Xenopus tropicalis: one gene and its partner. The protein of the gene in region 1 purifies or fractionates together with the protein of each later gene. This does not show direct contact. Links are inferred from orthologs where the notes say so. Each region holds a gene or a part of one and is shown in the gene's direction. Other genes may lie near its edges.

Region 1 (3,655 bases):
GTAAAGATATGGTTGTTGCTAGCTGCAGTGCCGCAGTCTCTGATATAAAAGTGGGCAGTATATAGTGTCTGTAATACAGTGATCCATTTGAGTAGTGACAGAGACAGTGATGGAGAGTTGAGCAGAAACAAATGTGTGCCCTGAATTCTGAAAGGACTAGTAACCACCCCTTTTGACTGACATTATTCTATATATGGCTTGTGAATCTGTGTTTCTGTATGTTTGTCATAGTCCGCAATAAGCAACAATGCTGTATCTGTAGTACACAAAATGCAGGAACAGAACATTGTCTGAGCCCATAAGCAATAATCATATAATTAAGCATGTGCTTATTTGCAGGTAAATGGTCCCACGGAGCTCCAGAACCACTTAGTATCATTGTTAATGGCATTTGTTTGCTCCTTGCCAAGAAATGTGAGTATGAAACAAAAAGCCTTAATTACATTTTGCCGGATTCTGGGCATACCTTGCAGGCTAATTTGCAGAATATGGGATTTACTCACTTTATGTATGGAAAATGCTTCCAACAGGCCCATTTCGGGGAAATAAACTTTTTAAACAGCGAGTTCTCCATCCTTCTGCTCAGTTTAGCAATGCCACTTAGTAAGGTTTATAGCTTTATAATGGTGTTTCTTATTAAGACATTATATTTTCCTTTAGATTCATATATTTACATTATATCAGACCTGCAAGGCTCATTGCAGTTGACAGATTAAATTCCCTGAATACTCTGCCTCAGTCTGTTGCCTGAGGAAACTGGGAGTTATAGATGAGAAATATTACAGCCATTCAGGTAATGATGGTAGTCAGCAGTTATACCTAGGCTATTGTCATTAGACCTGCAGGTATGGATTTAAGACATAGCTGTTTAATAACTGGTGTCTTGTGATACAGAGGGGATAATGCAATTAAAGGAACAAACGGGGTAATATAATGAAAGGTCTGTAACTCATAAAAGATATTTGGATATGTGTTTTCAAGCAGCTCACTAGTACATGCTAACTGCTGGCTGATTGCTGGTCTAGTAACCTATAGCAACCAATCAGATGTGTGTTACCTGTTTAGTGGCTATGTGTAAACAGACCAGTCTTTCAAAAATCAAGCAAGTGGATGTTTTTCAGTGCGCCACTTCATGCACTGGTAAATAAGCCTTGTTGTTGTTTACGCTTAGTTTTTTTAAGCCTGATGGTGATGGGAATCAATGTGATAATGACACAGTCGGACTTCCTCAGTGTAGTAAACCACAGCCTCCAATCAGCAATTAGCTTTTAATCAATCTAATACTTGTAGAACATACAAAGTTGGAATCTGATTGGTTGCTTTGTGTGAGGCAGTTTGCCATACTTCATGCTGTAATATGAAGCCATTTATGACTAAAAACCATATTCTCACCTTTTTTTCCTGAGGGGAAAAAAACGCAAGAAAACTTCACATGCACCTTTTGCTTAAGATGGTGAATGTTTCATCACCTAATAATGCAGTTTAGTGCTGTGGTTCCTTTCAAGCTCATGAGAAGATATACCACTTTATATCAAATAAGTCTTTATATCAAAAATACAGTGGCTTATAACACACCCGTAAAAAAAGTATTATTTTTTTGCATTCCCAAGTGCCCCATTGTCATCTTTTGTAGATATATTATGAATTGATGAAGCCATTCTTAATTTTAATTCTTTCCAGCCTGAAATAATTTGGTGTACAACCTTCTTACATTATTATACCTGATTTTAATGGCAGGTGGAAATTCCACATCTGAGACGATTGCTGCAGCATTTGTTATCATTGAGTCTCTCAGGGTGCTCACCATTTGCATATTCCTCTGCCTCAAAATGCTTTGCTGGGCTAATCAATAAATGTCCCCAAGGTGAGTCCTGCTTTCCCTTGTGTCATTGTGTCACGGAATATACCTGCATGAGTTCTGTACTGAGCTGTGCATTTGTGCCTTTCCCACTAGGGGACCTGCTGGATGATATACTTCTAGTAACAGCTCAACGGATAGATGTGGGGCTGGTGGATGAACCCAGCAGGACTCGGGCCATTACTCTCCTAGTCTGGGTAAGAACAACACTTAATTGGCTGGACACTCATCTGTCATTTAGCCCGGTAAAAAAAAAAATGAGCAGATGCTTAATTTGGGCATCAAGCAGGGGGCTGTACAGTGAATTCTAATGCATACTCCATCAACAGAGCAATGATATTTTTCAAACTGATTTATAATGTACCCTCCATGCAGAGGACCTTTGGCTGCTACTTTGGCCAAACGGGCTAAATCAGTCGCTAATTTCTGTTCCTTAGCACCTTTACTACAAATACACAGGGAAAATAGCAATGTTCTTTTTATTATTTTAGTTTTGCCCCAGAAATATATAACACTTGGCTATACACATATAACTCTTTGGCTTTTAGATGTTCAGAACTATTGATAGCCAAAGGTTTTGTACCCTTGTAAGGCTAAATTAAACAGTGATGTTTTGGTATATGAACTGTGAATAGTCATGAACATGTCACTGGAGGAAATAGCATTGACCTTTCTTTCTCGTGTAGGTAACCAAAGCCTTGGTACTGAGATACCACCCTTTGAGTGGGCAGCTAACCAATAAGGTAAGAACTTGGAAGCAGATGAGTAAATCTCCTATCATAAAGGCAGCAAGTGATATTTTACATATTTTAATGAAAAAAGAGCAGTGCTGGAAAATCTGCTTTTCTTTAATTCTAAAACTCATAGCCACTCATTTCATTCTGCCTGTCTGCCCTTTACACGAACAGTTGCAAAAAAATCAGTTGACCTTGGCCTTCACTTTCTACTTTTCCCCATTTGCTATTCCACAGATGATTGGTTTACTGTCTGATAAGCAGCTGGGTCCTTCAGTGGCAAATATGTTCTCCCTGTTAGTATCAGACTCGCCGGATATCATTAATAAAGCCTGCCATGCAGACATCCGCATCATGTTCCGGCAAAGGTTCTTCACAGAGAATGTCCCAAAGCTGGTGCAAGGTTTCAACTCTGCCAACAGAGGTGACATGATTTTTTTTTTTTTTTTACTTTTTTGTATTAACATCAGCAATAAGCAGTGACTTTCATATTATTTATCCATTTATCATTATTACGCATGCAGTATATAACTGTGCTCCATGCAGATCCAACAAATAGAACTTACTCATTACTTATAGAATGTACTCATTTCCTCCAGAGAGCTAAGTGGGAGTGAAAGGGAAGGCTACTTGAATAATCACCCTCTCCTTCTCATGCCTCTCTCTGGCACAGGGTGTTAGTGCTCATGCTCCATGTGCAAGCTCTTATGTTACATATGAATTGAATTTCATTACCTGTAACTGATTTGTAGGTGAGTAAAAAATGTGTATTAAGTAGAGAACACGCAGTTGCCACTATGCTCTGTATAGCTGGCCATACACGTTAAGATCCGCATGTTTGGTGAGGTCGCAGAATGAGCGGATCTCCCTCCTGATATGCCCACCTAAGGTGCATAACTTTTGCCCCCCCCCCCCCCCCCCCCCCCGCCAGTGATTTAAACTTTCATTCTTCTTTAAATCTGCCCATGTATGGCCACCTTAAATAGGAAATATGTACTGCTGGTCAGTTTCCTATCATGATCCAGTCAAGGAACTTATCAAAAGAAAGAAATGAAGGCTGGTC
Region 2 (3,655 bases), about 7.3 Mb from region 1:
CCATGTTTGGAGGAGAAATGGTGCTGCATATCACCACAAAAACACCATATCAACAGTGAAATTAGGAGGTGGGAACATCATGGTGTGGGGCTGTTTTTCAGTATATGGCACTGGCACACTTCATATAATTGAAGGAAGGATGAATGGAGAAATGCACTGGGACATTCTTGATAAGAATCTTCTGGCAACTACCAGCTGAAGATAAAACGAGGGTGGACATTTCAGCACGACATTGATCCCAAACACATAGTCAAGGAAACTCTCTATTGGTTTCAGAGAAAGAAAATAAAACAATTGCCCAGTCAATCTCTCGACTTGAATCCAATTGAAAATTTATGGAAAGAACTGAAGATCAGAGTTCATAGAAGAGGCCCTTGGAACATTCAGTATTTGAAGACAGTTGGGCAATGGCAATGGACAATGGGCAATAATCACACCTGAGCAATGCATGCGACTAGTTTTTCCAAACAGGAGGCGCCTTGAAGCTGACATTACTAACAAAGGCTTTTCTGCTACTTATTAAATACATTTCAGTAAGCATGTTCAATATTTATTCCCTGTGTCATTCCACTTTACTACACATAACTTAACTTATGGACTTATTTGTTTTGATTTCTCTGTATGTGTTGATTACTTTGGTTGTTACCTACATCTGGTGTAAAGTTTATGTCAATAGCCCTTTAGAAATATATTTACTGAGAAAATCGTGACATGTTCAATACTTATTTTCCCCGCTTGTATAGTTAATGTTCTCTGACACTGCATTTCTAGCCAAAGACTTCTTACAACCCACTCGTCAACTTGTCATTGTCATAATGTAAACAGTCAAGGCTTATTAAAGGCAGCAAAACTAACAATATTTTTAAACATCAATCATTGTTCCAGTGTTTGGAACAATTGACATTGTCCTAACCTAGTGAGATGAATGATTTGCTGAATAGCTATTAGATTACCTCAGTGCCCACAGGGGGAGAAAGAGTAATATAAATATATCCTCCCTATTCTTATTCTGCTAAATACAATGCTGAACCGGTATTTTTTTTTAACAGGGACTACATAGAAACCTTCTTCTCTCTTTTTTGTTTTTACCTCTGAAAAACAATCTACTTCCCAAGTCTACTTAAAACAAGTGGTTTTATTTTATGGATAATATATCATTGAATTGTCGCTGACCATGTTGATCTGCTGTTTAGTCAGATTATGGCACTAAGCAACAAGCTGGTGTATGAAGGCAGGCTGGAGTGTGCCTCTGATCGTGTATCTAACGCTGTGGTTAAGCTACCTCATATTAAGACGTTACTTCTGGAGCTGGAGTTCAGAGAGAGCCAGGAATCAATGTGGATTAAAGATGTATTGGAGCCAAGTAACCCTGTGTGCTTTCTGAATACAGAAAAAGTATGTATTCTCCCCCCTCTGGTGATTTAACATACACTTGTGTTATATCTGCAGACATGAGCCAAAGACATATGTAAGGGCCATTTGCACCAATGCTTTTTTTCCCACTTCTAGATTCCAGCCCTGGAAACTGAAGAGAAGGGTGGAATAAGCAACTGGATAGAAGCTAAATTGGTGTTCTGTTTGACAAAGCTGTTTCTAAAGGTCTGTTTTCTAGCTGCATTTTATATCACTGTTTATCACTGTGAAAATTACTTTGTGAGGGATGCCTAATTGCCTGGCATCCCCCAGTGATTACATTCATTGAGCTTGTTCCCCAGACAGTGCTTCTTTTCACATGTTTATACTCTTTGACAGTATTGCGTAAGCGTATGGTCCTGTACAGCTGAAGCCATTGGAAAGTGACCAAAGATGGTGTTGTGGCACTGCATAAAAGTAGGCCTGAGAAGGTTGAACCTGCTGCTCAGCCCTTATGGGCTACTGCTTGGGTAGTGCTTTGCAGTTATTGTTCAGTGTGGTGAAATCTGGTAGGGGTAAAAGCAGTGGAATAACTAGAAGTTACTGGTCCCCACAGCAAGCTTTTTTAGAGCCCCCCCCCCCCCCCCAATATCTGGGAATATAATTATGCTCCTAGCTGCTCCTGTCAATCACACACTTTGTAATTTTGTCATCTTTGTTATACAGTAGCTTCTCAATGTTTGTGACTGTGCTATACATATATTTTTAATTATTTGTTATCCTTCATATAGTGCTGGCTAGTTTGTGTGTCACTTTACAAAAAGGTTGTTCATTGGCATGTTATACATACTACATCGATTTGTGTGTCATCCTAATATCTGTTGTTTGTTTCTACAAAGGCTGGCTGCAGACCCTCAGACATTGGGATCATAGCACCATATCGTCAGCAACTTAAAGTTATCTCTAATTATTTCAACTCCTTGTCAGCGAGTGCCGTGGAAGTGAATACAGTAGATAAATATCAAGGGAGAGACAAAAGTGTCATCATTGTGTCTTTCGTTAGAAGCAATATTGATGGAAAAGTAAGCCTACATTTACATCTTAGAATATTTTAACCTTCTTTTTTATACCAGTTCAAGCAAGCTTGATAAGGAGATTTATTTCACTTACCGTTAAATCCATTTCTCTTTAGTCCTATGGGGGACACAGGGACCATGGGGTTAAGTCCCCTCCATCAGGAGCAAGACACTTAAAGGTGTGCTTTACCTTTAATTTAACTTTTAGTATGTTATAGAAGGACCAATTCTAAGCAACTTTTCAGTTGGTCTTCATTATTTATTTCTTACAGTTTTTTGATTATTTGTCTTTCCAGCTTTCAAATGGGGATCACTGACCTCAGCAGCCAAAAAACTATTGCTCTGTGAGGCTACAGTTGTATTGTTATTACTACTTTGTATAACTTTTTTTCTATTCAGTCCCTCCCCTGTTCATATATCAGTCTCTCATTCAAACCACTACCTGCTAAGGTAATTTGGACCCTAGCAACCAGATAAGTGTTATAAGTACAAACTGGAGAGTTGCTGAACAATTATTGAAAATAATTAAACTACAAATAATAAAAAATGAAGACCAATTGCAAATTGTCCCAGAATATTATATATAATATATATATCTACTTCATACTAAAAGTTAACTGAAAAGTGAATGACCCCTTAAAGGAATGTAACCCCTATAACCCTCTTCCCATTCCCAGGCACCTCAATTATCATGGAAAAGACAGAGCAAACACTGCTTCTAACAATCTTTTTTTTTTTTTAATTTCATTTTAAAACAAGAAGGAGGGGTAGCTTGAAGACCTGCACTAAGGTCTCAAGGGGTATCCATCACACTGTACCTTAATGACCTTCTGCTCAAGGCACCTTCTCTTCTAGCAGCTAAATTCCAGCCCTCCGTGTTCATGGACACTCTGTACACTCTGGTATGAACGTTCAATATGGCCAAATCTCGTCTAGTGCCTGCTTGGCGCATGATCTTCGATATGGAGCAGCAAAAGGTCCTTCCTTCCTTCAGAGAAGATCACCCGGATCCAACTTCATTACAATCAGGTCCTGGGGTCAATGGTGTCCTCCATCGAAGCAGTTCCCCAGGACTGGGGTACTGCAAGTGAGCAATCCAGCGTAGGGGGCTGACGCAAAAAGTCCAGCACAGGCTCCCTCAGGTACCACCCCGGATGTTCTCAAGCCATAAGTCTCCTGGAGACTGTTGTCCAACCTCCTGTTTGCGAGGACATTCAAAAAACTGA

The links. Proteins that work in one complex are often made in the same cells at the same time.
Region 2: the proteins of mms19 (region 1) and dna2 purify together in Homo sapiens (affinity purification with mass spectrometry; 3 studies listed by BioGRID and IntAct, counting the BioPlex papers as one, with this or other methods). This does not show direct contact. The link is inferred for Xenopus tropicalis from reciprocal best matches to the Homo sapiens genes MMS19 and DNA2.

What each region holds. Positions count from the first base shown.
Region 1 is NC_030683.2:33,013,492-33,017,146, reverse strand, and holds part of mms19 (MMS19 nucleotide excision repair protein homolog), read left to right. Parts: intron 1-339; coding exon 340-414; intron 415-1,737; coding exon 1,738-1,864; intron 1,865-1,954; coding exon 1,955-2,055; intron 2,056-2,544; coding exon 2,545-2,601; intron 2,602-2,829; coding exon 2,830-3,016; intron 3,017-3,655. UniProt on the Homo sapiens protein: Key component of the cytosolic iron-sulfur protein assembly (CIA) complex, a multiprotein complex that mediates the incorporation of iron-sulfur cluster into apoproteins specifically involved in DNA metabolism and genomic integrity.
Region 2 is NC_030683.2:40,338,232-40,341,886, forward strand, and holds part of dna2 (DNA replication ATP-dependent helicase/nuclease DNA2), read left to right. Parts: intron 1-1,193; coding exon 1,194-1,395; intron 1,396-1,509; coding exon 1,510-1,599; intron 1,600-2,252; coding exon 2,253-2,435; intron 2,436-3,655. UniProt on the Homo sapiens protein: Key enzyme involved in DNA replication and DNA repair in nucleus and mitochondrion.